2 linked regions of the Lytechinus pictus genome follow. The protein of the gene in region 1 purifies or fractionates together with the protein of each later gene. This does not show direct contact. Links are inferred from orthologs where the notes say so. Each region holds a gene or a part of one and is shown on either strand. Other genes may lie near its edges. The genes, in order: PHD finger protein 12-like and GATA zinc finger domain-containing protein 1-like.

The links.
Region 2: the proteins of PHD finger protein 12-like (region 1) and GATA zinc finger domain-containing protein 1-like purify together in Homo sapiens (affinity purification with mass spectrometry; 7 studies listed by BioGRID and IntAct, with this or other methods). This does not show direct contact. The link is inferred for Lytechinus pictus from reciprocal best matches to the Homo sapiens genes PHF12 and GATAD1.

The regions. Positions count from the first base shown.
Region 1 is NC_087246.1:12,130,043-12,146,381, reverse strand, and holds the start of PHD finger protein 12-like, read right to left. Parts: upstream 5,842-16,339; 5' UTR 4,347-5,841; intron 2,690-4,346; 5' UTR 2,525-2,689; coding exon 2,475-2,524; intron 1,784-2,474; coding exon 1,515-1,783; intron 1,167-1,514; coding exon 1,055-1,166; intron 1-1,054.
Region 2 is NC_087247.1:57,320,713-57,337,408, reverse strand, and holds the start of GATA zinc finger domain-containing protein 1-like, read right to left. Parts: upstream 7,025-16,696; 5' UTR 6,925-7,024; coding exon 6,535-6,924; intron 1-6,534. Other genes in the region: TRAF3-interacting protein 1-like, read right to left, coding at 11,614-11,773, 12,227-12,450, 12,861-12,965, 13,583-13,700, 14,741-14,821. UniProt on the Homo sapiens protein: Component of some chromatin complex recruited to chromatin sites methylated 'Lys-4' of histone H3 (H3K4me), with a preference for trimethylated form (H3K4me3).

The sequences.
Region 1 (16,339 bases):
AGCTTACTTTTATTCAAACTAACACAAATACTCAGTTTATGAATTCTTACACAAATATTACAATATAAATTCTTTTATGTTTTCATGATACATGTAGAAAATTTATTTCCAAAGAAGCCAAGCCAGGGTCGGCTCATCAGCATTTTCCCCAAAATTACCAAGGTACATTTAAACAAACACTAATTTTGAATTTTGAATCAAGTACATAGAATGTACATGTGAGAAGTAAACTGCCATGGCATGATCTCTAGCACACATTACATAAAACACAAGCAAGATTAGAATACATGTAAGTACCAAAAAAAAAAAGTTTTAAGTGTTGGTTTGTGAGCACTTCATTGATGAGACAAAATGATGTTTCGGTTATAAGGTATCTAAGAGCCAACATTGGTTATTTTTCAAAGCATACAATGTTTACACTCATCATGACCATCATCTGAACCGTAATTTTGCATGAGTGTGAACTGCTTTGAACAACCCTACTTCCATGACCTGGTATTCAGGAAATGATTTGTTTGTTTTCATTTACATGTAACTCTCCCAAAGCAGTAAACCAGCAAGTCTTTATCTGAATAAATGCCAACTTTGCATTGCACACAAAACTTGATTCTGTTAAGAACAAAACTACTTTGGAAGTCTAAGATGAAATATTAAGAATATCGTGTAGAGTTAACAATGACAGAGACAGGCAGAGTAGTGAAGAGATACAGAGAGAAAGACAGAAAGAGTGTGTGCGCCAAGAGAGTGAGGGTGTAAGAGAGAGAGAATAGAAAAAAGAGTAGAAAAGAAAAAGTAAAGCAAGACATTTCAGTTACCATTTGCATATATTGCCTCTGGTAGGGATATTAAATAAAAGAAAGATTTTATGGTAAGATTTATGTTCAGATCTCAAAATTAAATCAATTTAAATCCAGATGTTTAAACAGATGGCATATGAAAAGCTAAAATTGACATGAAATTAAGAATAGGCCACATCCGTCATAATTATACCACTCACTGTAAATTAAAAAAAAGACCAATACAATTTTTGCTGCTTTTACCAAGTAGAACTTACTTGTTACATGTGAAGCAGACTTTAGCAGGTAGGGGGATCATCATATTATCTAGCTCATGAGGCTTCTTGTAGTTCTTGGATAGTTCCTCTTTTTTCTTCTTCTTAGTTGTCCCTGAGCATAAAAAGAAATAAAATCATGACAAGGAGAGCTGAGAATACACTGTATGTGATATAGTTTTACAAAAGAAAATTTGCACATTAATTACAGTATTTCTCTCAGGAACTTGCAACTTGTAAAGCCTAGGAATAAGGACAAATAATGGATTTTTTAAAGGGCTCCTGAATTTTCAGACATTATCAGTAGCTATAGATGGGCTTTTTTTATTCCCCCCCCCCCTCCCTCTAAAAAAGGAAACTAGGTTTTGATTTGAATACTGTTTTGTTTTTTATTAATCTTTAGACAATCTCACATTCAATGTATTGTACAATATGAAATGACAGAGGGGCCATCCCAAATTACCTGGTAGGGGTGCATGTTGCATCATCTCTGGAGGGAGAGAGAACTGCTTCGGATTCTGAATGGCTACAGCTTTGATGAGGTAGCTTAGAGGATTCTCAAACCTGACATAAACCTCCTCTTCCTCCTTGTCTTTCTTTTCTTCAGCCACCTCCACTAAATCCTTTGCCTTGTCAACATCCATCTTTTCTTCTTCTGTTCCCTCCGTCCGATTGGTATCTCCCTCTTCTGGCATTTCCTTTGGTATTATCCCAGCCTCTATCTGTGCCTCCCTGGAGAAAGAGTAAATCATATATCAGAGAATGAATTCTACCTTTTGACAAAATGATAATTCAAAATAGATTGGAGCACTGGGGGTTGCCATTAAGTTGACTGGATTTACTGGAAATACAATGCAGCCTCAAATTATCCATCTTTCACATAAAGAAATATGTTCTCACTACAAATTACGGACTGAAAATAATTACCGGTTAATTTGATCTTTTTTAAAAAGAGTTATGGAATAGAAAAATGTAATAATGAAAATAAATATATTAAAAAAAGCAACGCCTCTGGGAGTCTTGCCTGCATTACAGAATTCCATACAGGACTGTTGGCTTTGTGATATTGAATTATAATTTTTAATCTTATTCATTTATCCTTTACCCAATCTTATAATTAAATTCAACAAAAGGGCGATTTTGTGGATGCCTTACTTCAAGGAATAAGGAAATTAATGGATATGACCATTTACAAATGAAACTAGGACATACAAATTTTCATCCAATTCTCTTCTGACCAAAATTCACAAAGGAGGTTCATACCCCAACTTCAGTTTTGTATGCATACTCACACACTGCATATGATCCAATCAGATATTTCATGTATGTGCGCACATGGGCAATTCACACTATGCTCGGATAAAACAAGGAGAGGGTTTCGTAGGCTAAAACTCATTTGTGAATTATGGTAATGAAGGCTTACTTGTAGGCCTGGATCTGAGCCAGCCGCAAACATGCCCTTCCTTCTCTCATGAGTCTGTCGTTCAGTCGATCATTCAGCCGGAGGGAGGTGGAGGCAGCTCTCTCCTTCTCCTTGGCAGCAGCAGCAACCTCCTTCTGCTTCTTCTCTCTCTCAGAGCGTTGCGCCTTCTCAATAGACTTGATAGTGTCAGAGAGTGTGACCTCAGTGTTCAATGGCTTCATGGTAAAAGGAAGAAAGCAATGAAGTCAACTCAATGATGTACCTGAGAAAACCTTTAAGTAGCTATTATGGCAGTCACCACATTGACAAGTATACTTGGTACCAGAAGCAAGCATTAGGAGTAGGGTAAGAACAAGATTAGAATTAAGGTTACAGTTAACATTGAGCTAAAGTTAAGACTGAGCTGAAAATAAAGGTTCAATCTTGAGGCTCCAGAATATAGATAAACGTGTAATAATCTTCTGCACCTATTCCCTAAAAGTTGCATTGTGCTATGGTAGTTGACAATACATAATTAATTTCAAAGAGAGAGGGGTGCAGAGAGAGAGAGAAAAAAAAGAATGAAGCCATATGTTAAATTAAAAAAAAAAAATTCATGAAAAGGTCACCTATTCTAGAGGCAAGTTCTTTTGATTCTATTGACCTTTAATTTCTAAAAGGTACGAGTTTCAATACCCCATGGATAGTCTCCAAATAAGGCTCAATATTTCCCTGTCCCCTTACCCTGAAGGGATAGGTTCATATACAAGTACTACATATAGGATCATGGTCACTTTCGTTGAGTAACCGTCTTTGTAACAAATACTTGACAATTTTAATGTCAGTTAATCTATTCTAACAGAAATCTATACAAACATTATATATTCCATGTCCTTCAAATGATTGGAATGAGTACATGTAGCTATCAACTACCTGGACTTGCAAGTCTAAATGTATTTGCGAAAATAAATCATTAAAAAAAACAATTTCATGTATGTGCCATAAAAAGAGAGCAGCTCACAAAGGACATCACAAATACAAAACCTCGAAATGAAATCCCACAAAAATTATGGGTTAACAATGAAATGTTTGTTCAAACATCTAATATTAAAAGTAGGTTAACCTGTAGCAGAGTAAAAACTTCCTTTTCTGATGAGTCTGTATGAAAGCCGCTCAGAATGCCTGATATTTACACTATTTCATTATTCATCAGAAATTTGTAGAGAATTTCCAGTGAAACAAGAGACCAAATTGAAAAATAGTAAGACAGAATGATCTTTGACATTTCTTGCTTTGTCAACAGTGAATGCATAATTTATCACAATCATATGTCCACCTAAGGATCTGTTTCATGTAATTCACATTGCATAGTTTGCTACAATTACTACTATAGTAGACCAGAAAAAGTAATTGATTTCCCTTTACTGTATCTAGGTTGAGTTCACCATCAAATAGAAATGGATGAACGTAGCAGAGATATAGTACTGCCCTAATTCAAATGATCTATATTTCTCCATTGTAACTATTAGATTATAAAGGGAATATAGGAGAATGTGTACTGTAACTGTACTGAGAAACACAAGCTTTAACCTTTGGGAGGAAACCTCTACTTTTCACCATGGCATCCAAAGGAGTTTAACATAATTGAATGCACATATGTCATGCAATGATAAATGGTCATGCCAAGACAAGTTTTTCATAAAATTTTTCACTGATTTACATGTACACTAACAAATTTAGCTTTTAACATTTTCAAATCTGATAGGGTGAGAGAAAATTTGTCACTGAAAAATGACAAGATGCTTCAAGGAAAGCTTCCTATCTCAACTCAGCTCCCAGCATACCACACCCCCATAAATGCAAAATGGTTTGTTCCATGATATTCAATCTTACCTGCGGTGCTACTGTGCATCTGTGACACAACCATTCTCCTGAGGGTAGATCCTCTTCTGATATAGGAGGGTTACTGTAGGAAGAGAAATGGAGAGAGAATCCTTACCTATTAGTTAGCAAATGTAACAAATTCACCATTAATGTGATTTGTACAGATTTCCAAGATCCTCTTCAAGTAAATCTATAATTACACAGGTTTAATAAAACACTGATTTTCCAGGATATGAAAATTAAATATAAATAATTCAATGGCAATGCAAGTCCTGTTATGTTCATTTAAAATTCACTTTCACAAATGGGGTACAAGGATAAACTGTTGTGCAAAAAGAAAAAAACCTTCATAATACAAGAACTGATCACAAGGCCTTGCATGAAGTACTGGCTTTCAGAGTACCATAATAATGCATGCATTATGTCAAACTCTCTACATTAATGTCAAGAGGAAGACTTCTTTTTTTTCAAAATCATATAGTTTTAAGTTCAATTTATAGAAAAGAAAATGATCAAACATTGTAAGAGCAATATTCAATACATTTTGAAGACTGTTCAACACTTCATAGAGCAGAAAATAAATGTAAATTAATAATATAATTGTCAACATCCAAATACTTCTGTATGAAATAGTTTATTAAATATAGCTGCTCAATGCTCATATTACAAAAATATTTAGGAGAGTGAAGGGACTTTGCTTCAAGTGAGAAAGTAAAAGCTGGCGCTTGAATAGGACTTCAACAGATTACATGTATGTGAAACAAAAATTTATGCAATTTCCCCCCAAATGGAATAATAATAAACTAAGTTTGATTGCCTCAGAGGAGATCGTGTAAAAGTATAGGCCCTACAGACATCATAACAGCAAAGAGGACTTCTTTAGGTCTATAAAAAGTATTCCACGTCTGTCTTTCATCTTTTGCCTATTGTATTCTGTATATGTAAATGTTTTTTATAAAGTCTGGTAAACAACAATTCAGCAAACTTTGAGGATAAATGTTCATGAAACATGCATGAAATATATATGAAATATATGAAATATGACTATATGAAATAGAATCTGACCGAAAGACTGGTTGTACAAGGCTAACAATATCATTGACCCTGCTAAAGCTCCAAATGACCTTCTGTAATATCCACTGAAAATGTACTCAGCTCAAAACTGCACAATAGACCAATGCTGCATTACATTGTGCAAGTTTGGTACATACAGTGCATGTACAGTATGATTCATGTTCAATGTTTTCTGTGTTATTGTCATCAAGAAAAGTCAGGACACTCTTCAAAATTATCTACATCAAAACAAGGTAAAATACATGTACATTGTACATAACTACTGACTAGTATACATGTACATCATTGTTAATAAAGGTACAAATGCAGACCATTAAAGTGTTTTTGTCCAGTAGATAAACAAATGCAAATAAATGTGTTAAAGGGGAACATCACTTGACAAAGGTGACCACCAACAAAAAGAGAGAATGAATAATTTTATTGCAGAATCATTTTACAGCAAAATATGATTAAGCACTAGATTTGCAGTTTCAAATCAGAGACAAGTGGAGCGACTCTGGCAGTCTCACTTGCATTACACGATTCAATATAGCAGCTATGCTGACTTTGAAAACTACTATAAATAATTATTCACAAAAAACATAGTTCATATAATGATACAATACTAGGATCATTGACCCTAAATGGCATTTGACCTTGATCATGTGACCTAAGACTTGTCAGTGATACTTGATTATCCCTTATGTCCACAATTCATAAACTATATCCATAAACTTTGAAAGTTATGACAGCAATTTAATAATTACCTCCAACATGGCCAAAGTTCATTGACCTTAAATGGCCTTTGACCTTGGTCATGTTTACCTGAAACTTGCACAGAATGTATAATGATACTTGATTACTCTTACGTGTAAGTGCTATGAATCAGATCCATAAACTTTCAAAGTTATGATGGTAATTCAACAAATACCCCCAACTTGGCCAAAGTTCATTGACCCTAAATGACCTTTGACCTGGTCATATGACCTGAAACTCGCACAGGATGTTCAGTAATACTTGATTACCCATATGTCCAGGTTTCATGAACTAAGTTCATATACTTTTTAAGTTATGATGACATTTCAAAAACTTAACCTTATAGATTTTGACTCCCCCAACATGGTCTTAGTTTATTGACCCTAAATGACCTTTGACTTTAGTCATGTGACCTGAAACTCGGACAGGATATTTAGTAATACTTGATTAACCTTATGTCCAGGTTTCATGAACTAGGTCCATATACTTTCTAAGTTATGCTGTCATTCAATAAACTTAACCTTCGGTTAAGTTTTGATGTTGACACAATACTACATTCATTGACCCTAAATGACATTTGACCTTGACCATGTGACCTAAGACTTGTCAGTGATACTTGATTACCCCTATGTCCACAATTCATAAACTATATCCATAAACTTTGAAAGTTATGACAGCAATTTAATAATTACCTCCAACATGGCCAAAGTTCATTGACCTTAATGACCTTTGACCTTGGTCATGTGACCTGAAACTCGCACAAGATGTTTAGTGATACTTGATTACTCTTAGGTCCAAGTTTTATGAATCAGATCCATAAACTTTCAAAGTTATGATGATAATTCAGCAAATACCCCAACTTAGCCAAAGTTCTTTGACCCTAAATGACCTTTGACCTTAGTCATGTGACTTGAAACTCGGGTAAGATGTTCAGTAATATTTGATCACCCTTGTGTCCAAGTTTCATGAACTAGGTCCATATACTTTTTAATTATATTGATGCTGCCGCCGTCGGAATGCGGCACCTAGTCTTACTCTGATATGCAGGTGAGACAAAAACTGACAAGATTTTTTTGAGTTCTGCGGAGTGTTTCAATAACATTTTCATCCGACAAGTTGTCAGATCTGACATCTTTCTCTGATGTTGATTGGCTGAGAGGTACTTTTACTATGGTAACTGTCGGATAAAATGGGACTTGTCGGATAAAACGTTGACAAGTCCTTTCATGAAACGCTCCCCTGATCTGAATGCAATACAAAATCATGCCACCCTACACTACATTTTTCATTCCAGAAACACAGATTAATTACTTTCAAATTTTTCCTCCTTTCCTTGCTTTTGGGGAAATAATTGTTATATTAATAATCATTTGGCTATGCAGGGTGCTACATAAGCACTTGCCTGATTGCCCGGGGCAAGTAAAAGTTAAGAGTCAGGCAAGTGTTTTGAAGTGAAGACCAACACCACTTGCCTGAATTGGGCAAGCAAAATTCTCAGAGTAGAATGACCAAACTAAGGGTCGATACGATTTATTGACCCTAAATTTGATCATGACGGGTATTAAAATCACTATGGAAAAAGAAATGCAATAACAGGGTACATCAGTTCATGTCAAAAGAGAAAAAAAGGTCAATGGTTTATAAAACCGCAATACTTTCTTTTGAAGAGGTAACACTTTTTTCTTTCAAGGATTTCTTTGGGCAAGTATACTCCAACTATTTAAAAATTTACTTGCCCAACAGGGCAAGTGCTTCTAAAAGTTATGTAGCACCCTGGGCTCTGGTAAAATAACCAACAATTCAAAAGATTCAAATACAATTACAGAAGTATGGTAGCCTCAGAGAAAACATAACAAGTTTGAATAAGAAAATCATTAAAAACAGACAAGTAATTATCCTCAAACTCATTGAATTCATCAATGGATCTGCACTTTCTATCCTAGCCCTGAAGAAGAAGATGAAGGGGGAAAAACTCCCCTCTCCCCTGTCAACCACATACCCATCAATTCTTTAAAACTCTGGTGCTTCAAGTAGCAAAAGAAGACTGGAGTCAGTCTACTAACAGCAGAACTTCCTCTCAAAGCCACATACATGTAGATCCTTTTCCCAGTGCAACTTATATCGTTCGCTGAGTCACTGACGGTTTAAAGCCTCAATTACTACAGTCAAAATAATCCTTTTCCATTTCTAATATAAAAAGAATTTTGAGCTGGCAGGAGGAATAGATTGTTGATTAAGACCGATAGACATCCCTTCTCCAAGGGAAATGTTGCTGACTACCCATTCATACATCCAGTATGATGACGAGCCTCCAAGTTGTTCAGCATGATGTACATCGCTGGTAAGCTGGGTATTATCTTGCAGTGAGATTCAAAGTTGTGGCACACAACTAGACATATTGCATGACACTCATTCAAATTTTAGTATGCACTTTTATCACTCAAGCTGATATACTGTACATAACACTGTTGTAAATACATGCTAATGCCTGTTAAACATGGCTAAACTTTATATTTTAATCTTTATTGCCTATATATGTACATAAGGGAATACATGTACATGTAGGTCTACTGTTGATTTCAATAGTGAAGAGTACTTACCAGCAAAATAGGGAAGGATAAAACAGGTCCTTTGGATCACCCCCCCCCCCCCGAACAGGTGGAATGCATCAATTTTTTATGTATTTAAAGGTCCCACTTTTCACCTGTGTCTGACTGTGATATGTTACAACAATGAAGCTCAGAAAAAAATTGTGTCCGAAAATAATCATTTAGTGCTTCAAAAAAAGTGAAACATAAAGTGACCGGAAACACCATCTTAATTTCATCACATACACTTATGTGTTCTATTATTATCGGTACGATATAAATTACACAAAAAATCTTTTATTATAAGGTATCAAAAGCATTTCTTTAGATTTTTTGTTGGTTTCAGAGTTTTTAGATTGATAGAAAGGCATCTATGTACATATTTGATCTCTCCTTTGTTTTTTTTTAATTACATGTCTGTAACGTTAACTTGAGCCTTTAATATCTTTGAAACTACATGTACATGTACCCACCATACTATTTGCTATCATTGAACAAGAAACAACAACATTCACCTATATTTCAATTGATTCACAAGCCTCATCATATATGATTATCTGCATTGCTCAGTCATCAAATACCAAATTACATGTAATGATAGACCTAATGTTTAATTAATGACTGTCATGTTTTGTTTGCATTTATCTACGTATGATATCATAAACTGGTATAAGCACATTACTACTGAGTATGCCTAAAAGTACGTCTTAAAGGCTAGATATTTATACAAGTGAAGAAGCCAGATGTAATGAACTTTAAAAATGATGGATGCTTTAAATAAATGTATGGATATAAAATCCATCACATTTTCTACCTGGGGAACATAAAAACACAACACCAAAGAAAAAAAAGTTAAAAGGGCCCTTATATATTAAAGATATTGAAAATTTATGGTGCCAATATTACACTGTAACCCCCCCCCCCCCTATAGAGCCCTGGATTTACCCCAAATTCACAGTAAGATAATCTACTCTAAAGACAGAGTCAATTCAACACATAGGACATTATGTGGTGACAGTAGTGCTGTCAATGAATCGGTATACTTGATGCTCAGTTTGAGAATGAATCCCTCCCTGGTAAATGTTTAGTCTCTTGGCCTGTATAATTCATGTACAAACATTTCTAGCATGTGTGCAGGTGTCTGCTAGTACAGTTTCAGGCAAACTGAGCTCAATTTCTGTGTAAAATTTGTCAGACACAATTCATACCATAACCATGCTAAAGTGATACATGTATTATTTCTACATGTACCATGTTAATTCTGATAAAATTTTCACTGTGCATTGGTCATTTATTTTCAGTTGTTGAAAGAGAAATTACACACTACATACTTACATGCATAATGGTGAAATACAAAGGATTTATCTTTATCAAATGAGACTTCTACAGGTATGTACATGTACTCAATTACATGTATTTTGCCTTCTCTTTTCTTCATGTCAACAACTTTCAACCAAGCTAACAAACATTATCTTGTCTGGAGGATCTGGCCATTTCAAAAAATTGTGAACTCATGAAACCCTATGCAATACATATAAAGTGGGCCGATTAACAAACAATTTGTTTGATTATAAATTGAAAACAATCTTAGATGGATGCATATTAATAACGATTCATGCTGTACCTGCTGTAACTCTTGGGTAAATGCAGCTAGAGCAACTGATTTTGAGATAAGATTCTTAATAATGCTCAATTTTGACCGTACATACATAGCATTACCCATTGATCAATCCAACTACATGTACCCCAGTTTGTCCACTTTCGGAGGGAATGATAAAATACTAGTCAGCCAGGCTGACACCCATTTCCCCTACATAATTGGACTTGAGTTCACTCTTTACATTTCATCACAGGGAAGCAATCCATGTACACTTTAGGCCTAAATTTACTGTTGTGTACATAAGTGCATGCCTGTGGATTGCAGAATGTTCCATGAGTGATAGGTCAAGAAATGAACATCAAAATAAAATTACAATGCATGAAGTATGCTGAGCTCCATGTACATGTAGGCACAGTGTATGGATAGTCATAGTGATCCTTATGAAAAAGGTTATGATTCTTTTCTGCATTTGAAAACAAGTAACTCACTATACCCTTATACCGGTGATATAAAAGAAAATCCTTGTCAATTGCAAAATAACCCTCAAACATTTCAATTGGGTTCAATACAAATTGTTATTCCCAATGCTCAAATCTATCACAAGCCATCAAAGGCCATGGTCATAGATGCACATTTTAATTGACATTGGAGATTGTTAGCAGTCTGTATCTTTCAGTTAAAAAGCATATTAATCTACATTACATGTACCTACAATGTCATAAACTAACATCAAACATTATTGCTACAAAAGAAAAAATATCTGTATGACACAGACAAACTTCAAAGGAAATCTCACTCATACAAAGCAGAATCCAAATATACATGTAGCTCCTAGGACAGACATTTTCTTTAACATTAGGTCTTGAATTGAAGACTCCTGACAATTCTTAACTTAATATAAAGTCAAACCGCATGTCTTTCACTACATCATGTACCCACTCGCCATGAAATGGCCCAGTGGTATAATCTATACAGACAGGTGGCTAGCTCTACAATGCTGAAACTTGGCAGACAAGACTGAACGAAAGCAGTGTCTAAAATCAAAATGCCTTTGCTCATTTCTCACATGCATATGCACTACATGTACATGTATCAGTATTACATGTAGCTTCACAGCTCAGGTGGAGACATCAAAGGGAAAAATAAATTTTAAGAAATATTAAAGAAATGAAGCGTTGTAAATATTATCACATTGCACTATCTTTTAGTACCTAGGCTGATGAGTCCACAACTGAGCCTAGTGCGATTTACCTTCCCTCTGCATGAAGGCCTAAATAAAAATAAAGTGCCAGATTTACGAGCTTGACTCAACTCACATTTGAGTTTTATACTTGTTCAGATATCATTGACAATCCTGCATTTCAAAAATGAAAATAATAATCTCCATCTAGACTCCATGAGTCTTTGGCAATTTAGCACCAGTCACCATAAGAATGGAAGGTTAATCATAAATGTGGGGGCCTTCTTTAATATAATATATGTATATTTAAAAAATATACAGCAACCCAATTGGTATCAAAATTTCTGTCATACTGTACATAGTATATTTACACACAAATTTGACAGATATATCCAAATATCAAATTTTGTAATATACATAGATGTGTACTTCAGCAACCACAACGTCATTAGAGTGTTTTCCTGCTTTTAAGCATACCCCATCAAAAAGTTGTAGCCTTTTTAAGTAGATGCTCACATGGATCTATGTAACATGAAACATAATAGCTCGATGGGTTTTTAAAGACGAAGTTCAGTTGCTAGCTTAGACAAGTCCACTAAACTGATCCTGAGGTACATGTCCTTTCGTTTCACAGTCACAGCGTCAACAAGTTGGACCGTTATTGTTGCTACATACTGCACTGCTGATAGTTCACAAATTCATGAAGTTTACAAACAAACCCCTGCCAATCTGGCGATGATGGAGACTTGATTTACAATGGTCCCTAACAGCACGATTTCATAGTGCTTTATCATCAAAACTTTGCAAGCCTTACATGTACATGTAGCATCACAAACATTTTAATGTCAGTAGGAAAGCAACTCTCCAGCTTCCGGTACATGTAGCCTATGAAAAGAGGTGAAATCACTAATTAAAAAATTCACTTAAATACAGCTCTAAACAGCAAGATACTGTACATGTATTTATATACTGTACATGGCACTAGTACATGTATGTAAAAAGCAAAAGGAAAAATTCCAGCTTGAGGGAATGACATTCAGTTCACCTTTTCAAATTTACAGAATTCAAACATTTCTTGTTGAGTTCATCAGACACATTTAATATTCAGTTGCATGTACATTTATAGGTGAACAGCAAAAAGTTCTGTTTGAATACTGTTAATTCAAAGTGTGGTGCATTCACCTGTCTGAAGTGCAAAGCCCATACATGTATGTGGAATTGCCCACATGTAACATACATTTAGTGCTCACATGTACACTATATACTAGTTTGAGTGTATGCATAACTTTCCAATTATAGACCTGCAGCTTACATGTAGATGTGTATACGGACACTCCATTAGCTCCTATTAAGTCTACTTTGTCAAGTCAAAGTAAGACACACAGTGCATCTGAATTCAAGTGTAATAAAGTTGCTGATCCTAGTTTTGGGGGTGTATTTCAGTGTGAAATATAGGCCTAAAGGTCATGCTTAGATGCAAATGTGCATGTGATATTGAACATCCTATCCTAATCCTAAGCCTATGGGCATGATCTGAAATGTAACTGTGAATTTCAGTGCGATTTTCAGTCCTACTTAAATCATTATTAAAAGTAAAACATGAAGATACCATATCAAGAGTAATTCATGCATTTAATGTTCTTTTGCATTTCTATCAATTTATTCATTTTTTTACTGAACATGCATAACATTTCTATGTCATTTTAAGCCAATACCAATTCTATCCCACCTTCAAGATTTTTGGAGGGAGTGGAAAGGGAGGGAGAGGTTATAGTCCTATTAGCAGATCTAGGTCTATGAACAATTTAAGTTTAGCTGGAAAAAAATTGTTGAAAAAGATAAAGACTGAATGGATTATGAAAAATTTGGTTGATTTCAAACAAGTATGTTAACTGAGCCATCCATACGTCATGTGACATACATGTTAACAATGCATGTCTGTATTGAATCACTTGAATGGATTAGAGAATTATAGGCCAAGAAAGAAAAAGACAAGATTTTCTTTCCACTTATTTCCTCTTTCCCACCCACTTCTTACATATCACTTATTTTGACTACAAATCGGATTCTGTAAAAAAAAAAGGAAGTGAATTCAATAGAACTAATTTGATTAAAATATCCATGACACTAGATAAGCATAATAGAAATTGGTTGAAATACATTGCCATGCATGATTAATATGACTCTTTTCAATGGGTATAAATCATCTATTCAAACATTTTTTCAAGTATTTTATCTTTATCAAAGTACATGTGTACAGTACTATGATACTTTCAGCATAAGTAGTTTTCCTTTACTGTAACACCATATTGGGATTGAGAACGGAAGTCTATTCATTATCACTCCTGTATCAAGATTTTCAAATGTTAGCTTGAAATCAATACCCATTTGGTGTACTCTAATTGTACTTGTATGTTCTTAGTTTTTTCAACTGGTAGATTCCAAATTTTAACCAGTACAGAAATTACCAAAATAGAGAAAAAATATCAAGTGTTCTGTTGAATGTACAAATCAAAGAAATATTTCAGAGGACACAACGCATGTTCTTGTGCCATAACGTATAACCAAGATCTCTTTTGCTCAGAATTCCCTTTTATTGAGAATTGAGCATTATAATTTAGAATGCCACAAATATTAAAGTTTTATTTCATGGACTTACCTTTAAATTATATTGAAATCCAATTCTACATTGTCATTATGTCAATAGAAATTTATATAGCAGAAGGCAAGTATATAGTTGTAGCATCAGTATTTGATTTCATTCAAATACCAGTCCTTAGTTTCACCCTGATCAACAGAATAATGAGCAAAATTTTTTTACTTTCAATTGATCTGTAGATTCTACTCTGACCAAGACTGGAGCAAAAAAAAAATCAAAAGACTTTTCAAATCTTCAGTTCAGACAAATTTGGTTGAAAATCAATTGCAAGTAGACTAATCTAATGAGTAATGTTGTTCTAGAGTATTAGTATTATTAATGTCTAGAATCTAATTCTAATCTACTAGAGTAACATTAGATCTAGGCCTAATTCTATTTTAGAAATTCTCAGGGGCTTTTTAATTTTTTGTCTATGTCTGACTTAAGAAATAAAATTTACCAGCACTGGAGGTGAAAAGATGCAGGGCAACGGTCACAGCAAATAAGATCTCCTCCCTCTGTGCAGCTATCACAGGAATCTCTATTGGTTGCTCTTCCTGTTCTTCTTGGTTCTGTTCTTCTGTACTTTCTTGGAGGCTCATCACTTTGTGGAGGAGCAACCAAAGCCTGAATTTGCTGTAAATATGACATGGAAACAGTTATTAACAAGTTAAATGTGATGAAGATAGAATGTGCAAGACACACAGCAATGAGCTCCCTTTCCTGGTGGTACGTTGCGTCGCCATTTTGAAAGAAAAAATAACGAGTTCTGTGTGCAATGGATGGCACAGCAAGCAGATTTTGTTGTTCGCACGCGTTGCGTGGCTGTGCATAAGTAAACGAGAACATCTGTCAAATCGAATTCGAGTCACAAACAAGTTTTTCAAAGGCAAAAATTGAATTTCACTTACCATCATGAGGCCTCCAGACGTATCCAGGTCATACTGGACAGTCGTAGCCATCTTGTGATTTGGTCTGCGTGTCAGTTACTTGAAAGGAATTTCGAGAAACAAGATGCAAACGAATCACTTATTTCCAACAAAATCTCCGTCCCCGTGTGGTAATGCACGGTAACACATCCCCACAAGTCGCCGCTGCCGTAGTTATCGCACTGTGGAGGTGCACCGAATTACATGTTCGGGTCGAGTGATGAAGGTTGATGGAAACTCTGATTCTGAAGAATCGAAAGCATGAATTTTCTCTAAATCACGCACATGCATATATATTATATACAGCTATCGAATAAGAAAATTCCAATAAAAGAAGCAGCTTCAATGAGAAGAAATCCTCGAAAAGAAATACAGCCCACACAGTAACTTTGCCGGACAGAAATTTACATATCGAGAGCTAGCCCGATGGTGGCGCACAACTGCGCATGCTCAGCTCGTTGATCAGTAATGCGCATGTGCAAAAGCAATGACTTCCACAAAATGCGCGAAATCAAATTCATAGCCATGTGGGTAAAAATATAATAAAAGCATTACCATACGGCGTCGGCGATCAAACTTTCTTAGAGCACCAATTTGTGGATGGACACTATGCTCTTACATTGAGTCCAAAATGGATCTTAAAAGAAAAAAAATACTGCTCTTACACATTTGCTGCACATCAAAATAACTGAGTGGACAATGCTCCGGGACAAAGCTGTGCCAAGCATAATAGGCTAGGCCTACAGACGTTTTCGGATGGGGAACGGACTTGCGCTTCTTACAATCCCCCAAATACAGAGGAATTCTTCCAATCCTGCATTTTCTATTTTATATGAGTGGTATCACGTGAAGTTCATTATTTCTCCAAACAGTAAGGCATTGAATCACCATTGAAACTCTATAGCCTAGCCCTAGGCCCTACGAGTTTATTTTTGGTAGCTTCCATGGCCTTATACGCATATTCTTTTGCGGGGGGGGGGGGGGGAAGGACGTGTAACATTTCGAGAAAAAAAACCCTCGAAACTTCAAGCTCTTAGTTCGCGATTAAAAGTCGCCTTTTCTTTCTCGGAGAGATTGAGCCCCCAAATATTGGGAATTCCCCGATGTGGGTTTTCATGAATACTTCAATTCTCAAAGGTATACACTTTGATTTTTGCAGGGGGTATATAAACAGTAATGTTATTTTGTAGTAAATGGAGTTGCCCTATAGGCATACCTAACCCTCCCATTGGCGCAGACATGCATGGCATCACACCTG
Region 2 (16,696 bases), on another chromosome or scaffold:
AAGGAAAAAAAATAGTACGGGGTTAAGGATAGTACGGGGTTAGCGATAGTCCGGGGTTAAGAAAATCCTGTGTAAAAAGGGTAAAAATTATCATTATTTTGTCTTTGCAGTACTTATTATAAAATATTGGGGCCAGGCCACTAATATAACTTCAGAATGTCCAGCCATGATCCTAAATTACTGTACATGTATGCAATAATTATGTATCAGTGGAGAGAAAAAGAAAACATAGTTACGTTATCTGAATAAAATCATGCTAGAGACAATTATTCATAAAACATGTATTCTTGACAATCGATTGATATACAAAATAAAGAAATCAAATCTACTGCAGATATGCTTTATTGATCATCATTTCATTCATTTGATTATTTTCCTTGGAATTCCAGGACTTTCCTCCAGCTCCACCTCACAGGCGTACACTGTCCCTGGGCAGAGAGTGCCCGCAGTCCGTGCAAGCGCACTTTGCACAGTGCAATCACAGCTGCACAGCTCAAAATATGCACAGACAGTGCGCAAAATGAAATAAAATTGCACTAGTCTTCGTGAAATCTGTGGTAATTCTTGCAGCTAAAATAGACAGCACATCTATCTCTGCCACCCATAATCAAGAAAAGTGATGTTGGACTCTGACATGACGAGGCGTTTACTTGAAGCAAAATGTTGGCTGCAGGTGTCAATCGTATTTTGATGCGCTATGGAAATCGTACACAAATCACAATATTGTCGGCTGCTAACATTCGCATGGTCGCATCTGAACAATAGCGGCGCTATTGCTCCCTTTTTTATCCCATGATCCTTTGCGTAAAACTATTTGCGATATTAAGGTCTAGAGTCTAACATTAGACCTAGATCTATAACTTATAAGAAATTATCTGTGTGGCTAGTGGAGCTTTTTTTAAATTTGACTTTAACTAGCCAATGCTAGCCTAATTACTTTTTCAAATCTTTTCATTTTTAAGCACTTATTACATCCCGTCTTGATTTTTGCAATGATTTAGCATGTTTCACAATCTCAGTTAGATCGCCTTGGGAAACTCCGACATAATGCTGCCCGTAAAGTCACCATGTCCCCCAAGACTAAAGAGGTCATAACCCCTATACTAGTCCTTCACTGGTTACCTGTTGGCTGTTGTATGGTGGTGTGACCTTAATTCGCGCGTTACCTAATTTTGCGCACGGTTGAATATCTCAATTTATAATTAATATCTTGAAAAACTGATATCACCAACAGAAAGAGCGACTTCAAATTACGTAGAATGGTAATTTTCTTGAAGGTAAGGTCTCTATTTGTGAAAATATTGGCAAAACATCGGCAAATTTTGTCACCGTTTTGCGTCCGCTCCGAGAAAATTCGATCTTCTCGACAAGCATCAAGTAATCGCCAGTTTGCAAGCAGAGCTCTCCAAATAAGTAAAATGTGGTACCAACCGAATTCATGGCATTTTAACCTCCATCTGATATAATTATCTTACCTTTGTCTGCTTGATTTCTTTTCTAAATCCTTGCAAAACAATTGTGCGCAAATTAAGGTCACACTTTTTTATGACACTTTTTCAGCCGAGCGCGCACTATAGTATCCCTAAATTAGACCCCAAAAGAGCCAATCTGGAATAAAATTATTGGAAATGGTTTTTTGACTGATTTGAGTAGGTATGGGTGTCAACATTTACCAAAAAAAAGTTAGGAGGAATACGGGTTGGGGAAAGTGCTTTTTTTCAAGGTCAAAGGTCAATGACCTTTTCGTACATACTGTATAATGGTATCTCTGAGATGGAAAGGCGCAGGTTGGTGATAATGGTGTCCAAATGCACAAATTCTTACCAGAATATCAAATAGAATAAAATTAATGACCTAGAATGCACATTCACCTATCAAATTCAAGGTCAAAGCCTTTCAAAAGGTCAATGACCTTTTTTACATTATATACCATACCGTATAATGGTATCTCTGAGATGATAAGGTACATGCTGGTGATCATGTTGTCAAAATGTACAGATTCTTACAAGAAGATCAAATAAAATAAACTTAAGTACCTAGAATGCACATTCACCAATAAAATTCAAGGTCAAAGCTTTTCAAAGGTCAATGACCTATTTACATTATATACCATACTGTATAATGGTATCCCTGCGATGAAAAAGCACAGGTTGGTGATCATGGTGTCAAAATGCACAGATTCTTACCAGAAGATCAAATGGAATAAAATTAAGTACCTAGAATGCACATTCACGCATAAAATTTAAGGCCAAAGGTCAATGACCTTTTATACTACATATACCATATTATATAATTGTATCTCTAAGATAAAACGGTGCAGGTTGGTGTTCTTTGTGTCAAAACACGCATATTCTTACAGGAAGATAAAATAAAATTAAGCATCGAGAATGCACATTCACCCATAAAATTCAAGGACAAAGGTCAATGTCCTTTTTAACATTAGATAATAATAATAATGGTATCTCTGAGATAAAACACCGCAGAATGGTGATCTTGGTGCCAAAATCAAAAGACTTGTACAAGAAGATTAAACAACACTAAAATAAGTATAAAGAATAAACTTTCACCCTTGAAATCCTAGATCAGAGGAAATATATAATCTATATGATATAAAATTAACCAAAAACAATATCTTTTGTGTTCATATTTTATATCTGAATAATGTTAATAACCATGGCTAATTTGTAATGAAAACATGGAGGTTTCATAATTTCGGTCTGAAATAATGAAGGCCATGGAGAATGTATTTAGGGGTCAGAGGTCAATGAGCCCTTTCCAAAATATCAGTGGAAATTAAGTTAAAAAAGTTGATAACCAAATAACACTTTTTCATATACTGCGATGCATTGCCAAAAGCACTGAAAAAATAAATGAAATCAAGTATATAATTTGAAATGATTTTTATCTTAAGTAGCAGCATTTAATGCATCATTATATCTAAATCAAGGTTGTCGTGTCTTTTCTCTCCAGCGATAGGCCACTCACCTCAATGCTATAATAAATACTATAAACTATTAGCTTAATCTTCTGAAAATGGATAGGACAGGTCTAACTCTCATGTCACAGCTAGCATCATCTGAGAGCATTTCCAAACAGCAGAGGGATGATGATGATGATGAAATGAAGGCCATCATTAGAGCTGCAGCTTCTGTCATATACATGTAGTAAATTATATATATATCAACTTCAACAAAGGTGAATTCCCTTATTATTAGTACCTTTCATCAGTTCATTGCGAGCTGGCAGAATCTCTTGTGATGCTAATGCTGCAAGACAAAACTTCATATCTGCTCTCTGCCGTACGTCACCCATGATGCTATTTCTACTAGGTATCAGTTTGTACAAGGATCATGTTTTGGTCCAGAACAACTGATTATTATCATGCACAAATTAGGCATATAACAATGAAGTTCAAAAGGAGATGATAGCTTACAAGTACACATCCATCGACCTAACAAAACTCCTACAGCACCACTTCCAGTTCTTGAGAATCAAGCTGTGCAATTATCAGTAATAATATAGATCCTGGTCTGATATCCCTTGACAGAACGTTAGGCTTTCATTGAATGGGCCAGATCAAAGTCTTGAAAATGTCAGAAGGTTTTCAAGAGTTCAATTACTCTTTGCTGAAGTTGAGACACTTAACTTCATCTATGACAAAAAAGCTGCAGCTCTAATGATTGCCTTATTTTAATTCTTCGTCATTGTCCCTGGCTATATGAAAATGTTCTCGGATGATGCTTGCCATAAGACTTAGGCCTATCCTTTCCATTTACAGATTAAGTTATAGCGTTATAGTATTGATTGTAGCATTTGAGGTTAGTGACCTATTGCTACAGAGAAATTAGTACCTTGATTTAGATTTATAGAATGCATATCTAAATGCTGCTACTTTAGGTAACTTCACCATTGTCACCATTTCAAATTATATCACACATTATTTTTTTTACACTTTTGTCAATGCATTACAGTATATTATAAGAAAAAGTGCTATTTGATCAAATTTTACCTCGAACTTGTATTTTGACATCATCATTGGTCAAGGATTCAACTATTAAATTTGTGTTCTTTTTCCACGCAGGTCAGTCTTTTTCCCATCAGAATCACTATACCTACATGCCACAATCACGTTATATCGACCTATTTACTTAAATTCCCTGACGCTATTGACATAGTTGATTGACCTTTAACTCCTAAATATATTTTCCATGGCCATTTTTTATCCTTATTTCTTTCAGAGTGAAATTATTAGACTTCCAAGTGTTCATTACAAATAGTTATCTTTCTTTCTATTATTCACAAATAAAATGTGAATATAATGGATAAATTTCTTTTTTGGGGGAATCATGCATGGATATATAAATATTTATCAACTTTTGACCTTTGACTTTGGATATTGGATTATTTTGAGTCTTTTTTATCTTCTTGCAAAAATTGCTTTTTGACATCAAAATCACCAACATGCAGCGTTTTATCTCAGAGATACCTTTATACGATATATAGCCTATGTAAAAAGGTCACTGACCTTTGACCTTGAACTTTATGGGTTAGTATGCATTCTAGGTGATTAATTTTATCTTATTTGACCTTCCTGTAAGAATCTGGGAATTTTGATACAACGATCACCAACCTGTGCCGTTTCATCTCAGAGATACTATTATACAGTGTGATACATAATGTAAAAAAGGTCATTGACCTTTGAAAGGCTTTTACCTTGAATTTTATAGTTTAATATGCATTCTGGGTAATTAATTCTATTTTATTTGATCTTCCTGTAAGAACCTCTGCATTTTGACACCAAGATCACCAACCTGCACCTTTTCATGTCAGAGATACCATTATACCGTATGGTATACAATGTAAAAAAAAGTCATTGAGCTTTGAAAGCTTTGACCTTGAATTTCATTCATTTGGTGAATGAGCATTGTAGGTACTTGATTTGATTTCATTTGATCTTCTTGTAAGAATCTGTGCATTTTGACACCAAGATCACCAACCTGCGCCTTTTCATCTGAGAGATAGCATTATACCGTATATGGTATATGATGTAGAAAAAAGGTCATTGACCTTTGAAAGGCTTTGACCTTGAAATTTATTGTTTAATGTGCATTCTGGTAATTAATTTGATTTTATTTGATCTTCCTGTAAGAACCTCTGCATTTTGACACCTAGATCACCAACCTACACCTTTTCATCTCAGAGATACCATTATACCGTATATGGTATATAATGTAATAAAGGTCATTGAACTTTGAAGGGCTTTGACCTTGAATTTCATGGGTGAATGAGCATTGTAGGTACTTGATTTTATTTTATTTGATCTTCTTGTACGAATCTGTGCATTTTGACACCATGATCACCAACCTGTAATATTTTATCTGGGAGATACCATGATACAGTATATTTAAAAAGGTCATTGACCTTTGACCTTGAAAAAAAGCACTTTCCCCAACCCATATTCCTTCTAACTTTTTTTTGGTAAATGTTGACACCCATACCTACTCAAATCAGTCAAAAAACCATTTCCAATAATTTTATTCCAGTTGGTTACTAATTACGGGATACTACTAGTCGATCGCGATGGAATTTTGAGATCGTGATACCAGCGAAACCGTTGACCTACTTTATAATTCCGTCAAGCGAATTGGACTTTGGGATCTTGCCTTCCGTTTGGTATTAATGGTTTTGATTAAGTTTGTGTGAGCTGTGAGAAACTATTGATTGAAAATCAACTTCATGATAATTTTCAAAATGTGCGCAAATTATGGTCACCCCATCATACAGCGCATAACTTTTAAATGCTCCTACTTGTTTTCCATTCAATACACGGAACTGCACCACAATACAACTCTTCCTTGATTTACTACTCCTTACAATCCCTCTCGCAACCTTACATTACATGTACAGGTAAGTCTTCTAGTTCATCCTTACTTGCTGTACCACAATCTCATAATTAATGGGGGGGATCGATCATTTCAACATGCTGGGCCATTCCTATGGCTATGGAATAAAACTTCCAAAAGAAATCGGCAATCATGGCAATGTGAATGTTTTTTATCTCACCACTTTCAAAAGTTCTCTGAAAACCTGGTTATTCACACAAGCTTTTAGTTTTACTAGGTAATTAATTAGTCGCCCCCTCAGGTTTTCTATCTTCCTTTCTTTTTCTTTTTCCTTAAGGCTTTACTTTCTTTTGACTTTATTGCGCCATGAGCATCTTTTTATGATGGATATGGTACCGGCGCATTATTAATAAGACTAGTATACCCAGTGGTTGTGTGTCCGGACGGGTTGGGTGTCCGGACACATGACTTTTACTCTCAATTTTGAAAAGTTTACAAGCAATGTCTTTAATTCTTTTTAGCACAGAATATAAGAAAATATTGTAAAGAACAAATATTGATGGTGAAAAAAAACTATTCAACCTATATTTTTGGTTTATTCCTGAGATAAAAACAAGGCTTCATTTCTGTTACGTGTCCGGACACCCAACCCCCCATCCTATCATGACTATGTAACTGAGTGTTTGCTTACATTTCTCTTGAATATGATTCGCCTATTCTTTCCTTTAGTTGACTGAGATTTTGCCGCATTGACGATCTGCTTGTAACGCATCCTCTTGGCCGGCCTTCCCGACTTCCTTCCTCCTTGGCTTTTTCCTCCTCCAGCTCCATTTCCACTCGATTTCCCGTGGCCGTTTCCATTGCCATTTGCTGAAGAATTATTCTGAGAATCGTCGCTATTGTTATTCTTTACATAACAACCATTACAGATTACTGAGCCCGACTTCTTTTTCCTCCACATACATGTCACCGACGTCTTGCAGGAAGAGCAGTATGTTTTAGGTCCAAGTGACATTTTGTCTCTTTTGATTGAGTGTAGACCGTATGTACGGTAGGCATGCAGACTCGGCTCACTTCGCATTCAGAATGTGTACTGTACGCAGAAATGTACAGATGGGACCGGTCCGGGCTCGCCTGCAGGATTGACCAAACTCAACGAATTATTTCTGCGACCAAACTCCGTCGAAACGATCAGTCGCTTAGCGCCCCTTACGGCATATGCATTTTATTGTCACCCATAATTTCCCCTCCCCGTCTTTTGATCAAGCTATAATTTGTGTAACTCTTTCATAGCTACTTCACAGTAACGAAGAAAAATCAGATACGTGCTGTTGGCTGAATCTTTTGGGTTTTTTTCTTCATTTTTTAGAAACTAAAGTTTATTTGAATAAAGTGAAAAGTCAACACAAGCTTATAATTGAGAAAATGTCATCAAATTTGAGATGTAAAAATGAGACAACAAAATTAGTAATATGTTCATCCTGGTTGGCATGCAACTAAGGGAACAATGACATCACCCACTCACTATTTCTTCAAAATTTGAAAAAAATAGTGAGTGGGTGATGTTATTGTTCCCTTAGTTGCAATTAAAGGGTTTCCCAATAAAAGATTGATGACTCATTTGCATATGACTGCATTTTTGCACACAACAGTTATCTAAAAAATAAACTGTCTTAAAGAACAACCCTTTTTTTAATATGAAATTTGCAGTATTATGACAGTTTGATATCTCTCCTTTTGTTCAAACTTTTTTTGGGGGTGGGTAGAATTCCTTTTAAATCAGTATTGCACCTGTGGCAGCCAAATGGCTGTAACTTCGAGCACAAAATACAAAGGCGATGCATGAAACATATAAATGTGGTTTAAAAGATATAAAATGCAGAATGTAAAGTAAAACATCATGACAAAGGCAATGTCAGACCAAATATGAAAATAATATGGGGGAGGAAACGATAGGAATGATTTAGTATTTGTAATGAGAGAGACAGAGTGCTGAGAAAAATAAATTAAATAACATCGCACAAGGAGTAGAAAGCATACACTCCTTCAAATGCAACAAGGCTTATTCCTCAACGAATCTCCCATTTTTCTACTCTCACTCAACACTACATAACTAATATTAAAAGCTTAAAACAATTGTATAAAATTAATGACAATTATATCACTTTCTTTATACACAGAGAGAGTACTTTCTTTGTTACAATAACATCTATGGTTGTTATATCCTTTTACTTTTTTGCAGCTTTAGATTCTCTAAGCATGCCCCTAATGCTAAAAAAGTATAAAAGTTTGTAGAAGATTTACATGCCTCAAAGAGACATGTCCTTTCTTGGACTCCAGAAAAAACAAGTGAAAGCACTTTGGTGGAACTTTTATAAATATATATTTTTCTGTTTTGTAAATTACTTATTAGATTGGTATATTTCATTAATTTAGTTCTCAATTCTTAAATGATCAAAATACACACAAGGAAACTTGATATGAAGCAAAAATCAAAATAGCTATATTCACACAAGACACAATTCACTTTATTATCAGCTATAATATATCTACAGTTTTGAAAGTATTCACAGTATATACACAGAGAAAATAAGTTTTTCTTCAGATATTACAGTTCAATAAAGATACATTTAAAGAAACTTATTTTGAGTTTGACTGCTTTCATTTGTATCACTTAGTAAATAAACCAGTTTGTGAGTTTCTGCCGAATATGAAATCTTAATAACCCATCAGGAAGTACATCGTGCGATGTCAGCAATTATTCCAAGGTAGCAGCTGGAACCTTCAGCTCAGACAAGAGATGGGCATGGTCCGGGCGGGGCAGGGTTCAAACCATTGTTTACACACAATGGGTCGCCCTGGCCTCCCACGCTTTGCCTGATCAGAACATTCTGAAGTCACTGCTAGGTAGCACATTATTCAACTTTCTTCTTGTAGTAATATTGAAGAGATTAGCATTTAATCCATGTAAATAATAATAGTAATCCAGTTTCTACAACAAAATCCACTTAAATATTGATAATAAATTTCACAATTACAAGTTCTAGCATACAGAAGTAGGAACTTTTTGTAGGAACTTTTCTACTTTTGTAGCATTACCTGGGAATAACTTCATCATGTTATAAATAAGCTCTAACATAATTTTTATGTATATCAATCAACAGACATGTGAACATAAATCCCATATGGAGGGAGAGTGGAATGTTTCAACCTTAATCATAAAAAAGTGATACCAAAGAGTTGTGTTTCAGTCAAACATGCTTCATACATTAGCATACAGGGAAACCTATGGATCAACGACAACCAAATTCCTTTACAATTAAATAAAAGTAGATGTGACAACTTTTAATGACAAATCACACTTGACTGCACAATCTCATACAGTGAAAGGATCTAAAAGTGATTACAATGAATGAAACCAGGAGATGTGAAATATACATGTAATCTCAACATCACACTACATAACCCTCAAGGTGATAAAGCTCATATAAAACGTAAATAGTGTGATCATTCCCATATAATCACAAGCTTTTAATATGGTTGGCTGAACAGAGGTTAATGAGTACTACAACTGACTTTGTACAAGTATAATGAATCGTACCAACATGCTAATATTAAGCTTATCATTGCATGTACTATGCTTCATGAATGTTTTAAATATTCAAGGAGTGAAATTCAATACAAAGAGTATACCTTACAACTTACATGAATTGTGAAGTAGCATAAAACTTTCGCCATTAAAAAAAAACTCTGGCAAACAAAATTATGCCATTGAAACTTACACATTAAAAACTCTGGGCAAAAAGTTTGCCAGAGTTTTTCTTTTACGCAACAGACCCAAGAAAATATTGATTATCGGTTTCAACATGCAATGCTCACTCTATATTATTTGTATTGTTTTTCAAATTAATTTTTTAGAACCCAGGCATTTATCAAGGACGGTAATAAATGTGATGTCAGTCATATTGTAAAATTCTCTTTCAAAACCAAACATTAGCTACACTGTGTCTTGCCTACTTCTGAAAATTCATAGTCCCCTCAACTATAATGTAATCAGCGAATAAAATTCAGAAAGTTTTCCAAGGTAAACTAATGTATGACCTAAAATGACCTTTGACTTAACCATGTGACCACCAACAGTACTATAATATATATGTACTCCTAGGTGCATCAATGACCCAATATTAACACATTGACCAGTTTGAATGATAATTCACAATAGATTTTTGTGACAATGACAATTACTTATACATCTATTCATAATCTGTTTTACATTTTAACTAACAAAAATCTTGTTTGCCTACTCTGTTGAGAAACTAAAACCGGATACCTTTTATGTTAAGCCATTCTATTATTTCATTGCAATTGTACCATTTTAAGTCCATTAACACGACCATCAGTATTTTTTCAATTTTGAGCAATTGTTTTACAGAAGAAAATAGGAAAGAAATCCTTGATAAAATCTTCCTTCATTACAAACATATGTAGAAGGCCAGTTTGATTATCAAGCAAAAAACTACGATAGTATGTCTTGTTATTATTCTGTAATACAATAACAAATATTCTGTAAACAATCATTACATTTAAATAATCACACACACACACAAATGTATTCCGATAAGAAATGAAAAAAGCAAATTCTTTTTATTCCCCTATTTTTGAAATGGTCTAAGAATGCAAATTACACTCGAAAGTGAATTTTACAAGATCTTAAAGATAATTATATTTTGTTTGTAAACTTCACCATATTAGTTATACGAGATGCTTTTGAAAATAGTTCTTACATGCACTGTACATTGTACTAACAGAATTGTTGTCATGCAAAGCAGCTGATCATGATGCTAAATTTGACAAGGAAACTTCTTTTTTTCAAATCATGTAAACAAAGCTGACAAAATCACCTATATTAATGGAGACAAAACCTGGCAGACTTTAGTGCACTTAAATATTCATTGTGGTAAGATCCATTAATATATTCTTAAGAAATATACATATAAAAAACTATTCATGTGAGAAATATATTACACCAGACAATAACATATATATTTTACAATAACATAGCACTTTATGCTTCTCAATGGCATTTGAAATGATATTCAGTGATTTTGATAATCTCCAATGACAATCACAATGAGAGTACTTGGCTTATTCTATCCTGTCAAACTCCAGGGTAAAGATCTGCAGTATCATAGATGGCCATCAATCATGACACAATTGGGATTCGTGGTGGGATGTTTCAGCAAAATTCTCTGAATACTGTATTTTAACATTAACTCAATTGAGTTATATGCAGACTGAATGCATTAAGATGAGAAAAAAAGTTTGCTTGATTTCAAAATGGTTGTAAAAATGCTATGGACTCTTTCTTCAGCTAACACTTGATATGACATTAAAGTGCCATTTCTGGAGTTTGCTAGTAGCTACTAGCATCTCCAGAAATTGAAGTGAATGTGGTTACCATACCTAGCTGTATCATTTGACTTTATTATTATATGGAAGTAGCTTTACATGAACTTTATTCTTGACCACTAGCTTACATGCAAATGATTGTGATTGTATCAATCAAGGGCCATGGGATGATTCAGTATGAATGAAAAATAACTTAGTCAACCCAATGGAAAAAAAAAACTTCATCCATGGTCAGGTGATAAGTGGTCAAATTAAGGAACAATAACTTGAAGTATATTAAGATGAATTGTAGATTAAATCTTATATTCAAAATGATAAAATTAAATATGCTTGATTGAGAAGTTGGTATGACTGAAATGACTCATCTTGTAAATGCTATACTATTAACCATCTTTCCTATCTTTTCCTCATTCCTCAGGATATTTGCTTTGACTGCAGCAATGGTGTCTACTTGGTCATCTATTGCTTGGTCAAGCTGGGCTAGCTGGGCTTGAAGAGGTTCTAACTCATTGTCTGTAATCCTGTTAAAGAATATATCCATAAATACATACAGAAGTTATAGAAATTAACAAAGAAAATGTATGGGGCAATTAAGTATTTTCCAGGTTTCTACTATAATAGTGCACACATAAATTATGGGTGCTATTCTATCTGAGAAAATTTTACAGTAGTGCACTTACTAGCAGTGATCAGTTGGGCAAGTTAGTTTGCATGACACATCTCCTAGACCATGCAGTGCTCTTGCAGCAGAATAATAATCAACAAAAATGACTGATATCAATCACCTGAAATTTCTTTGGAAATTCATATTGACTATTTCGTTGTTAAATGTAATTTCACATAAAAATACTGACACAATGTGAACATTGGGAACATGTATGTTAACATAATGGAAGAGTGTACTGTGGCTGTGATAACAGCATTTGAACCTTCGGTTACCAAACTCCCTATAAACATGATAGCAAGGTTCTTACCCCTGTTCACGTTTGATTGCTAGACCATGTTCTTTATTCTCTCTCTGCCACATCTCCAGTTCCTTCTGCATGCTATCTACATCTTCCTGGAGATAGTCCATGATCTTTCCTAGAGGATTGGCACTTCGGGTCAAGGTCTGTATAGCACTGCGGAGCTTCTCTACTTCACGCTGGACTAGCTCACGTTCTTTACGTCTGGCAGGATCCAACACCACAGGCTTATCCTGTGATCAAAACAAAACACATACATGTAGATACATCAGTTTCACTATCGCAATCATAACAACAAGATGTAATGCTGTCACAAACTTTGACTGAAAACTAATTCTGTCCATACGCAATTACATAACAGATAAAATGTTCATTAAAAGCTACAACAAAAATGATATATCATCTAAAGAGGATGTTAAACATTCTCAATCACAACCTACATATTAAAGATGGTAATATCAAATTACTTGCTTGTTTTCAAATTATATTTCCAAATAAAGACATTTAAATGGCAAGATGTGAGATTTAAAGTTTAAGATAATTTGAACTTCACGTTTGCATGCTTCACCTTGTTTAAAATAACATTAATATATGAATTCCCATGCTTTTAATAAACTGATTAAAGAAGAACATAGTAACTTACATCTTCCTTATTTTGTGATCCTTCAAGCTCTTTCTTGGTTTCTAAGATCTTCTTAACAAGGCCTCCATGTTCACCATCATCTTCCATAGACTCACTTGCTTGGGGCTGCAACAAAATCATATCACATTTGTTATCACACAAGGACCCTTATTTTGGTTTAATTTAGACCATGGTCTAACTCTGTGCAAAAATCATAAGAAGCTGAAAACATCAATATTTTGCTTACATTGTATATTCATTATCTTTGCTTTTTTGTTTCTTGATACTAAAATTATGAAGAAAATTTCCGAGAAAGTTTTGATTTTAGTGTACAGTGAATTGATAGATTGAACCAGTACTGATAGAGATGTGCCACAATTGGCTATTCATAGTTGAATAGTTCAACTTAAAAACAGAACCTTAGACCAGAATTTAGATTATCAATCATGAATAAAAATCAACAATGCTGTATATACTTTATCAATGCAATATAAGACAGTTCAGCTAGTCATGAAAAAAATAATAATAATACAGCAACAAAGCATAATCCAAACCATCTAATACATTGACTGTCTTTTTAATCAGAAAGCTTGCATATTTGAGCAATGGGGGGGGGGAGATTCCATTAAGTATCTTAAAAGTTTTTTCTCTCTCCCTCTCTGACCAGTTAGCTTTCTGTCAATAAGATGGATTTTTGTGGTGTAAAACAGATGTAGATTTCAATCATGAATAAAATATCTTACCCTTGGCTCATCTTCCATAGATTGCTGAGTATCCTCTACTACAAATATGTCATCTTCATCATCTGAATTATGACCATTATCAACAATCACATTAGATACCTGCTTACCACTTCCGATCCTGTACAAAGAGAAGAATGACAAAAGAGCAAAAATACAGAAGTTATAGATATCTTGATAATTTTTATTACATATAATTACTGATAATATAAACCTGTCATTAATTAAAAAATACTAATAAATCAATATGAGGAAAGTAGTGCCCCATTATCACTATCAAAATTAAGTTCATTTCTTTAAATATATACAATTTGGATATACTGAAAAGAACAAAGACAAATATGTCAACTGCAGTCAGTATATGCAGTTTGGGTGATAGAAATATGTACAATCATATACATATTTTGAAATAACAAGTTTTTCTTCTCTCACAGACATATAAACAAATGTCTGATTTGAAATGCAACCATGAATAATTGGGAAAATGAGAAAATATCTTGATAGGAAAACAGAAAAGTTAGTACATACCTTCATCTTAAGTCACTTAGATAATAATAATAGTTTACTATTCGGAATACAGGAATCACTTCTTGATAAATTACAACATTTCCAAAATTCTGCTGCAACTTATAACTCAAAAAGGAAAGTTTGAACACAACCCCTATCTTATCTGACCTTCATTGGCTTCCCATTCAATCAAGGATGAAATATAAACTTCTCATATTAACATTCAAATGTATTCATGGTATTGCCCCTGCTATCTTCAAGAACTTGTCCAAATTCATAAACCCAAGCGAAATCTCCATTCTGGCTCACAAAATCTTCTCTCTGAAATTACTGTCAAGACCAAATCATATGGGGATCGGGCTTTCCAAAAAGCTGCACCAGCACAATGGAATTCTCTACCACCGACTTTACGAAATATTACCCAGCTTGAGAAATTCAAAGTACAGTTAAAAACCCACCTCTTTCAGAATGTTTAACTTAGTTACATGTAGGTTCAATCCATGTTTAATATTTTTTGATGTTATGAATAATTATTTGATGTCTGATTTTTAAATTTACAATTCTAACCACATTTCTCGCTTTCCCCATGCATACAGAACGGTAGGTGTTATGCAAATTAAGAACTCTAGCATTATTATTATTATAATATCTCACCTTGAAGTATCTTCAGTAGAATCTTGTTTCTTGAGCTTTGGAGGGGCAGGTCTTGCACTGCTGGGACGGGCCATCCTTCGACTATAATTACAAAAAGATCTAGATTTGTAACTTGTTCAGCATCAATGTCATGTTTAAGTGACAAAGAGACTATGCATTTTGGTCCAACCGAAACAGAATCCTTCATTCTTCATATGCAACCACAAGATATTCATATGAAATTTGCAGATTTTGAAAAGGATTCATTCCCCTTTAAAAAAATAAATTTAAATGGCAAACATAAGAGAAATGGGAACATAAGAGTCAAATGAAAACTAAGTTATAATCACCAATAACTTCTTCATGAAATTTGATGATGTAGAAATATTTGGTATCATGAAATGACTAAGAAATAAAAGGTAATAAGAACTCTTTTTACCAAGAATAAAGGTAACACAGTTCAACTACCAGGCTAAAAAAGTCTGCAAACCAACAAACACAAAGATCTAGTTAAACGTGATTCATTAGACAGGCTTTTTTATCATGCCAGACAAGAGGCGCGATAGCTCAGTCGGTAGAGCGGAGGATTCGTATTCCGGTGACCCGGGTTCGATTCCCACTTGGTGCGCTAGTGCCCTTTGGTAAGGCATTAATCCTCATTACCAGGTCCTTCGAAGAGGACCTTAAGCCGTCGGTCTTCTGGTTGCTTGCCTACAAGCATTCATGCTTTCTTAGCAATCAGGTAAAAAAATCACCACAATCAAGAGATAGATGTCTGGACAATTTCTCAAGTCATGAAAAATCACCCATTTCTGCCTTCAATATCTTCATCTGGATGACTATATCTCGGCAAAAAAGTCATATCGCAAAAAAAAATGGCAGCAGTTTCTTAAACATAGCAATAACAAGCAGGAGCTCTTCAAATTTTAACTGATGAGCTCCTATCAAGCATGGCAAGTAAATCAGGAGTGATTATTGTCACAAATGGAGATTCTATCTGCTCAGAACTCAAAATGAGAATCATCAACCTTGAACCTTGTAGAAATATGTTGTAAAATATTCCATGTGGATAACTTCCAAATAAAGGAAGGTTTGAGCTTTTATATGAACATGGACCTATCAAGAAATGGACATTTATCAGTTATTTAGTGAATTCACTCACATGTGACTCATTGTCCTCAGATTAATATTGAATTTCTCTTCATATTAGCCAACTTTGATTGTATAATGGTCACTGTCAATTAGGCCATGGATTGAAGAATCAGTCTATGATTTGACATTTCTATTGCATAAACTGTGCATATTTAGAATATAATAAATCACTGCAGTTCTAGTTTACAAGTAGTAATCTTAGTTCTGTGTGTTTTATTTGGAAAAAAGGTATACATATTTCAAGATAGAGGCTATATCATTGTGACTGATTGTTTATCATCTATGGTCTCATTTTTTTTTCAAGATTCCTTCCAATAATAATATTCCAAAAATACACAACATTAGTGTGTAAAGAATGTGCAGCTCTCAATGTAAATGAGGTCATCATGTGTGTGTGGAAGTTTGCGGATTGAATTATACCACATTTTATAACACGAAAACCATCAGTTTCTCAATTTTGCTGCTCAAAATCTGAAGCATTTTGATTGAAAAGCAAATTCTGAAACAGGATATCAGCCAACAATCACCAAGACCAGGGGACCGTTTCATTAATATTTTTGTCCGACAGGTTGTCAGATCTGACATCTTTCCCTGATTTTGATTGGTTGAGAAGCACTGTAACCTTGGTGACTGTCTAATAAAATGGAACTTGTTGAATAAAACGTCTGATAAGTCTTTTCATGAAAAGTTCCCCAGGAAACTTTTACTTTGTAAATGATAGTAGATACAAGTTGGTATTCACTATTGTCAAAACACACGTTCTCATTTAAATGCATATAATCAGGTGACAATAAATATCATTGCATCAAACACAGGCTTACGTTA